Linked DNA regions of Rattus norvegicus. The protein of the gene in region 2 purifies or fractionates together with the protein of the main gene of each other region. This does not show direct contact. Links are inferred from orthologs where the notes say so. Each region holds a gene or a part of one and is shown on either strand. Other genes may lie near its edges. The genes, in order: Nr1h2 and Abca1.

Region 1 (4,444 bases), on a different chromosome or scaffold from region 2:
TTATCCTTGAGTTGGCTCAAATATCCATTCCCTTCAAGTCTCTGGGGCGTATTTCCTCTTTGACAGTCCATCCCATAGTCTCCATTACTCCCACCTCAGCTCACTTCCCTTTCCCCCCGTGGCTGGCTCACTGGAGGCTCCAGATGGCCACACCCCACGAGGGTTAGGATGTCCCTGGACTACATGCAGCTCTGACCTCTGTCCTAGAGCCTAGTTCTCGTTATTAGTACCTCGATGGTGGATGCCTTCAGGAGGGCGATCTGGTCCTCCCGGCCCAGCTGCAGGAACCCTGGCACCTGCTTGGCGAAGTCCACGATCTCCTGGACTGAGATGATGGCTAGCTCAGTGAAGTGGGCAAAGCGTTGCTGACGAGCGTCTCGGGACTGAGGGTCTGCACCCAAGGGCCAGGGCTGGGACACAAAAGGCCAGGGTCACGTGGGAACTCGTGTGCCCCAAGAAACCCTCCCTAGCCTGGGTGGGCTCTGCCCACTGGGCCGGGCGGGGCGATACCGTGACTTTAGGCTGGTCGGAGAAAGATCGCTTGTTGCACTGCAGCTGCGCGGCAACTAACTGTTGGATCATCAGCTCCTGAGCCGCTGTCAGCTGGATGCCCTCTCCTTCCCCGGAGCCCTGGCTACTTGCTTCCGAAGTGCCAGGGGAGGCTGCAGGCCGGGCTGAGCTACCGGATGCTGGCTCAGTCGGGGGCGGTGGCTGCTGCTGTTGCTGCTTCTGAATCTTTTTCTTCCGAATCTGCTCCTCAGAAAGCACGCCTGCAGGAAAGACAGCCTCAGTGGTGGGACCCACCCTCACTTACTCCTCCCCGTGACGAGGACCCACGCTCTGTCTAGCCCCGCCCCTGCACTCACACTGCTCCCGCATGCCAGCCTCCTTGCACTTGCGCAGTCTGCAGAGCTGGCACTTGCGCCGCATGAAGGCATCCATCTGGCAGGTTCCGCTGCCCCGACAGGCATAGCGCCCGGCCCCACCATGGACCACGCTACGCCGGAAGAAGCCTTTGCAGCCTTCACAACTGAGCACATTGTAGTGGAAGCCCGAGGCCTTGTCCCCGCACACGCGGCACAGCTCATGGCCCAGCATCTTCGGGGCCGGACCCTTCTTCCGCTTGCGCTCAGGTTCATCCTCTGGCTCTAAGATGACTTGGGGTGAGCAGATGCCATGAGAGATAGCGACAAAGAGAAACAGCAGCCTGGGAACAGGCCATGGGAAGTCCCGAAGCGAGGGTGAGAGGACAGGGCTGCAACGCCAAGGGAAAGATCTGCAGGTCGGCAGGCTCCCAAGAATGAGTCGGAGGTGTCAGGGGGAAGAGGAAGGAAAAGCGAACCGAAAGACAGGGGCCACCGTCTCCCCACCCTTCCCTCACAACGTCCCACACCCCTGTTCCTGTCTCCCTGTCTCACCCACGATGTAGGCAGAGCTGGACCCTTCAGAGCCTGGAGGTGGATCAGTCTCCTGTCCCTCCTCCTTAATAGTGGGTGAAGTGGAGGAGGTACTGGGCTGGGGAGAACCATTCCCTAGGAGAAGGAAGAGGGAACAGTGAGCTTCTCTTACACTGTGGGAGGGGCCAGGTAGGGAAAACCCATCACTCACCAGGCAAGGGAGTGTCCAGAGAACTTGTGGGGGAAGACATAGTGGGTCACGAAGCAGCCTGCTGGACATAGGGGACCCAGCCAATTACAGAGTGTCTCTCCTTCCAATGCTCAAGGGCTCTCGAAACATGATCCCATGCAGCTCAGGCTAAACGAACTATGTGGCTGAACATCTTGAACCACCTCCAAAACCCTGGAACACACTACCCTACGCTGTCTTGGGATATTCCCCACACTCCTGCCTCAGTCTCTCAAGTGCTGGCATCACAGCACTGTGCCACTATACCTCAGTGTTTTTACTTCTATACTGAGCCCCCACTGCCAGCCCTAGTCCCTTATAAACATCACCCTGAACATCCCCAACCACTTCTGCTCCAACCCACTCACTGCTCCCTCCACCTCTCTATGATTCATGACCTCCCATGACAACTCCCGCCCCTCTAACACTAAGAGAGCCCAACAACTCTAATTCCTCTTCTTTGGTGAGCACCAACTGTGCTCTTACCATATAGGTGATCCTAACTTTGTCCCGCCTCTCCCATCAGGTCGCAACCATTACCCTCCTACCACAGGCTTCTTCAAGGCTTTAACCCACCTCAATACAGACCCCAGACCCTACCCATCCTATCAGGTCCCTGGTCCCGCCCCTTCTCACACTGGGGCAGATACCCAGATTTAGCCCCGCCCCTCCAACTCCCCAAAAGCCAATCATAGGTCTTCGTTGTGCCACGCCCTCCACGCCTCTGCCCACTCCCCCAGTCCCCTCAACAACAATCCAGGCCCCGCCCCAAGAATCAAGAAAGCCTTCAATCACGGGTTTTATCTACAGCATGCCTCCCGCCCATGTGCGTCCCGCCCTCGCCCACCAACATAGGCTTCCCCTACGCCACGCCCCGTGGAGTCACGCCCACCTCGTTCCAGGCCCCGCCCCTCTCCGTGCACCAGGGGGAGGCGGGGCTCATGACTGCACCGGCGATCGTGAGGGGGTCGCAGGAGGGGGTCTCCTACTTCGTTACCCTGGAAATGGCTGTGGGAGGCGGGAGCTGCGACAAAGTAAGGGAAGGAGGCGCGCGTTAAGCTGGACCCGCAAAGATCCGCGTACCGGTCCCAACCCCACCCGCCCTGCCGCCTGGTGCACTTGCCTCTGTGTCCGCACCGGTGATTGCTCCTCCACAGCACTTCAGAAGTAACTTCAGAAGCCTGGGAGTAGCTCGGAGCAACAGCGCTTGCTGAGCGAAAAGCAAAAGTAACTTCGCCACTTCTTCCGGCAACCCCGCTGCGCGTCACTTCCGGAAGTAGGAGGGCCGGGAAAGGTGACAGACTTCCGGTCTGCCTAGGCGCCACCGAATGAGATGCCTTGGCCGGAAGTGGGACACCGGAAGTTTATTTCTTCTGGTAGTTCCCCTCTGGGACTCAGAAAAAAGTTCCGGAAAGTTCTTTTGTTTCTTTAAACACATGACTAACAAAGCAAGTTGTTTCCCTTTTTGATTAGTCTAAAGTTCTCTACGTTTGTAGAAGTGCTGCATGGTTGGTTTTTATTTTGGTTTTGATTTTGAGACAGGATCTCATATTCAAAGGGGTGGCCTTGAACTTCTGAGCCAACTGCTTCCACCTCCCCATTGTTGCAGAAGCACATCCACTTACAGCCCAGTATATTGGTTCTAAATAGGTTAAATCTGGAGATGTCATGATGGTTGCAGGATGATTTTAAGCTTAAAATGGAGGCACGAGGGCTCTTCATACCTTGAACTTCTCCAGCTCAGAGGTTGTGCTGCCCTACCCCAGCTGCCCGCCCTTCCCTCTATAATCCAGTCGTTTTGAATACTGGGTTCTTTTTTCGCCTACCCTTATTTATTCCCCTGGCTCACCTCTCTCCCCTTCTCCTTACATGTCCAGGCTCTGGCGCTCGCTCTCGCGCTCGCTCTCTCTCTCTCTCTCTCTCTCTTTCTCTCTAACATTTTATGTAAGTACTCCCTGTCTTCAGACACATCAAAAAAGGGTGTCGGATTCCGTTACAGATGGTTGTGAGCCATGCTATAGTTGCTGGGAATTGAACTCAGGACCTCTGGAAGAGCAGTCAGTGCTCTTATTCAACCCAACTCTGGACTCTCTTGATGTGCCTGCGTCTGGAACTTTTATATATAAGAAGTTATTTTTTCATTCAGCTTCGTGATAGGAAGAAGTAAATATAAAAAGGCAAATTGGGTGCAATTGCATGCCTGCAATAATCAAACAGACCAAAGCCAGAGGATTGCGTTTAGTTGGAGGCCAAGCTGAGCTAGGTAGTAAGACAGGTCATCAGCTCAATATAAATAAACAAGTAGCCTATGCCCCTCTCCCATAAAAGTGATAATACCAGCTTTTTCACAAAAGATAGAAATACTTGTGTGGACCTCAGATGGAAAAGATTCAGAGATTTGTTTCTCCCCAACTCCGACTTGTCAACAGTTGAGAGAATCTTTATTAAGCGCAAATGCTTGCTTTTACTTAACTTTTGTTGCTGTTGGTCTTGGTTTTGTTGTTGTTGTTTTGTTTTGTTTTGTTTTGCTTGTATATTTTTTTGAAACAGAGTTTCTTTGTGTAGCCTTGGCTGTCCTAGAACTACTTCTGTAGACCAGACTGGCCTCCAACTCATAAGAGAGTTGGCCAAGGCCTCTGCCTCCCATGTGCTAGGATTAAAAGCACTTACTGCCACTACCTGGTTTACACCGCCCCCCACCTTTTTCAAAGACATGGTCTCACCATTCTAGCTATCCTAGAACTCTCTTTGTAGACCAGGTTGGCCTCCAACTCAGAGATCCTCCTGCCTCTGCCTCTTGAGTCCTGGGATTAAAAAT
Region 2 (3,806 bases):
GGTGCTCCTCTCTACGTGATTCTGCTACTCACATGTCAAACAACACATTATGCTGGGGACAGACTCCCAGGTTCTGCCGGATAGAGTTCATCTCAGATCGAATGTCCTTCCCCAGGATGTAGGCAGTGCCAGAAGTTGGGGGAAACAACCCAGTCAGTATTGACCTGAGGACAAGAGTAACAGATGCAAGAATCAGGACGACCCAGCCTTACCATTCAGTGCTGCAGAGTCAGGGCAAAAAGAGCAGATCACACAACACACTCTATCCCTTCCTTTCTAATCTAATCCAATCCAATCTAATAGATGCCCACAGAGCAAAGAGGCCATTTGCTTTAGTGAGTGGCTAAGCATGAGCCTATGTCTTAGAGATAGGAGTTTGCTAGGAGCAACTGAAAATGTTACTCTTAATTTGCAAACGGGTGTGCTCCTTAAAACATATTTTGTATGCCTAACATTCTGTACAAAAAAAAAGAATAAGCAAGAACATATTGTTAAAAGATAGAAATGTTTGTGCTGCATAACAGAATTCCTGAGTATCTCAGTCATGTTCATAGTATACTGGTTTTATGTTGAAGAAGAAAGCTGGTCATCCCCAAAGATCAACCTCAGAAATGGCAGAGGGACCACACTACAAACTGTAAGCAAACTACTGTATTCTATGGCCCTTCCTCTGTCCTCACAGGTCCCAGGGAAGGCAGAGGAAGAGAGCTACCCAGGCCTTCTCTCATCTGCTTGAAGTCAGATTTTCTAGAAGTGTCCGTCTTCCTCTAGCTTGTTTGATCTCTTTCCAGTCTCTTGCTTCAAATCTCTGAACCAACGAGTTCAGAAACAGATAGCCTCAGATTCCAAGAAAGCTGGGGAATTCTGAGAACTGCATGGGGAAACTCATCAAAAGGTTCCTGCCTATTTTAGACTAAAGGAAAAACACCTAGCAAAATCTAGACCTCAGAAGGCATGCTCATGATTGACACATTTCTTCCCATCATGCTCTGCTCTTAGCCTTAGGTGTATGCTTCTAAGTGGGGATTTCCTGTGGCAGATCTTGGGAGAGCCACACCCTCTTCTTACATGGTGGTGGTCTTCCCTGCTCCATTGTGGCCCAGGAAGGAGGTGATCTGGCCCTCGTAAAAATTTAGCGCCAAACCATCCACAGCAACCTTCATGCCATCTCGGTAAACCTTCACCAGGTTCTGAATGGATACCCCCAGCTTCAGGTGAGTGGGCTCCTCTTCCATGCAGACTGTGACAGAAGAAAGGAGACAGAGATGATCCTGCAGGAAACACACCTGGCCAATAGAGTGTAGAAATACAAACGTCTATGCTTAGACCTTTAGAACTAGCTTCTGTCTGTGTTCAACCTTTAATGTTGCAGACAAACAGGAGATGAAATATTTTAAGCCTCTTGGGACACTCATGTTGATAAACGAAATGGACTTATTAAAAAAAAAACCATTAGTCTGTGGATGAAGAAAGGCTGCACAAACAATTAAAATACAGGATGCTAACAGACATTTTAGAAAAACATTAAAATAAACTAAAAGTGTCATGGATACCCGTATTATGCAACAGTACTCATTAAGGAAAAACAAACAAACAAACAAAAATGGCAATGAACTAAATATATCACAATTTGAGTGGATCTCAAAAGAATTATACCAATCGAGAAAAAGATCCATCCACTCCCTCCCAAAAAATCAACTTGGCCTTCATGTGGTTCCCCAGCAACTGGAGCTATTCCAAAAGCTGCTGCCTGTACACACATGGTGGGATATGTTCTATTAGCTGGGCTGCCTTGTCTGGCCTCAGTGGGAGAGGAATCACCTAGCCTCTCAGAGACTTTAAGTGTGGGGGTGATACCCAGAGATGCTCCCATGCACTCAGAGGAGAAGGGGGAGGGATTGAGGGGAGAGGTGACAGGGAGGGGGCAGTGAGTGTGATGTAAAAGGAATAAATAAAAAAAATAAAATAAAAATTTTAAAGTTGCATGTTATCTACACTAAGGAGCACCAAAAGGCAACCAGTGGGAAGGACACAGAAGAGAGACCCTGAGAGCACAGGGAGGAAGCAGGCCTCCTTGACAATGTAGAGAGGTAGCAGATCTACTGACAACACAGGAAGAAAGCGGGCCACTGACAATGGAGAAGGGAGCCACACTGAGCACAAAGACACAAACAGAAAACCTGGGAAGAACTGGGGCACCTCTACCTGCAGTCAGGAGCGAGGAGGGGATTAGCACCCTACTTGAGAAAGGGTGGGAAATTATGAAGCCCAGGCTGGGTATATAGCAGCCTCTTGGTATCTACCGACAGAATCCCTAGGATAGACCACCACAGCAAGGCAGATAGAGAAACTAACTAGGTCCACAACGATGGCTAACTGTAGTTATTCCTCTTGGCTTAGTAGAGTAGCATGATTATCCTAGATGGAGAAATAAGGGTATACTGATCAAAATATACTTTGCTAGAAGAGGGGCGACAAAAGAACTTCTCCTCAGGAGACAGATATGGTTCCCACTAGGTGCGTGGGATGGCAATGGCATGGGTGCATTGGGAAAGGACCTACTGCATGGGATTTCTCCCCATCGATTGTGGCTTTGGGGTGATGTTAAATGCTAGACACAGGCTCTGCTCCACAGCGGGTGGGGGGGGGATATTTCTGGTCAGCAGTACTTACTTTCTGACGCACCCTTCTGGCTGGAACCAGGGTGGCTCTTCTCATCAATTTCCTCCCCAAACCAGTAGGACTTGGTACAAGGAAAATACCAGGGCCTGGGAATTCCGTACTGTCCTGAAAGCAAAGCATAGGTAGCACAGGCATGACCCCAGCTGACGCAATCTCAGCGGTTCTGACGTTTCTTAGCCAGACCCTCTTTCTCCTTAGCACGCCCTATGGGGAAGGAGCGGACTGGAGGGAGACAGCTAACTCTTGGCCGAAACCTGCTGTACAAATCATATATTCTGCACCTCTCCATGGCTTCCCAACAACTCCCCAGGTGGTAATAGCATCCTCATTTGAGAGATGAGCAAAGGGCAGGACAAGTAGCTATATCCAAGGTCACTTACACAAAAGAAAAAGGATTCTGAATTTGAATCTTTATCTATACATGCAAATTGCATGGTCAATGGAGGAAGTTCAGATATGGGTTTAAAACAACAACAACAACAACAAAATTACAAATGAGCTTCCTTGGAAGAGAGTCAAAGGGTGGCCATGAGCCTAACTTCACTCTCCCTAAAATCCGTTCTCAGACAGAAACGTATCCTGAAGAGGGGTCCTGCTGTACTTGGTGAAGGTTAGAAAAGCATCAGAATTAACTGTTGGTGAATACTACTTTGCCTTAAGCCATGGGTAAGAGCCGAGACCCAATACATTATATTATTTATAGCCTGTAGTTAGTAGATAGATTCTCCTAGGGCTTCTTCTTCTGGGGACATAGAACTAAGAACCCAGTCAATACTAAGAGAAACCTGCCGGACTCTGACCTAGTGTAGCCCAGCTGAGGTCATCCCCAAGCACTGACACTTAACAGACACATGACCTTAGCAAGTCGCTTAAATTCTCAGTTAAATCTCTCTCTTAGAAACTGTTTACAATAGGAAACAGTCCAGAGCAACCTTCCGAACCAGAGCCCCTAAAGTACTTTGCTCGGCACCTGGCACACTAGGCTCTAGAGATTAGTAGCACAGTGGTAGTGACACATGTGCTTTCAACACAGGTGCCTTTCCTTGGACTATTTGTTTTACACAAGCTTAAAGACCAAGCCAACTCCCGGGGAGTTCCCTCATCCTTCAGCAACTGCAACACAA

The links.
Region 1: the proteins of Abca1 (region 2) and Nr1h2 purify together in Homo sapiens (affinity purification with western blotting; 3 studies listed by BioGRID and IntAct, with this or other methods). This does not show direct contact. The link is inferred for Rattus norvegicus from reciprocal best matches to the Homo sapiens genes ABCA1 and NR1H2.

Annotation. Positions count from the first base shown.
Region 1 is NC_086019.1:104,180,975-104,185,418, forward strand, and holds the start of Nr1h2 (oxysterols receptor LXR-beta), read right to left. Parts: upstream 2,890-4,444; 5' UTR 2,750-2,889; intron 2,651-2,749; 5' UTR 2,519-2,650; intron 1,670-2,518; exon of another isoform or gene 1,667-1,669; 5' UTR 1,649-1,666; coding exon 1,609-1,648; intron 1,533-1,608; coding exon 1,419-1,532; intron 1,256-1,418; exon of another isoform or gene 1,158-1,255; coding exon 867-1,157; intron 771-866; coding exon 511-770; intron 411-510; coding exon 231-410; intron 1-230. UniProt on the Homo sapiens protein: Nuclear receptor that exhibits a ligand-dependent transcriptional activation activity. Binds preferentially to double-stranded oligonucleotide direct repeats having the consensus half-site sequence 5'-AGGTCA-3' and 4-nt spacing (DR-4).
Region 2 is NC_086023.1:72,512,874-72,516,679, forward strand, and holds part of Abca1 (phospholipid-transporting ATPase ABCA1), read right to left. Parts: intron 2,788-3,806; coding exon 2,674-2,787; intron 1,241-2,673; coding exon 1,069-1,240; intron 165-1,068; coding exon 33-164; intron 1-32. UniProt on the Homo sapiens protein: Catalyzes the translocation of specific phospholipids from the cytoplasmic to the extracellular/lumenal leaflet of membrane coupled to the hydrolysis of ATP.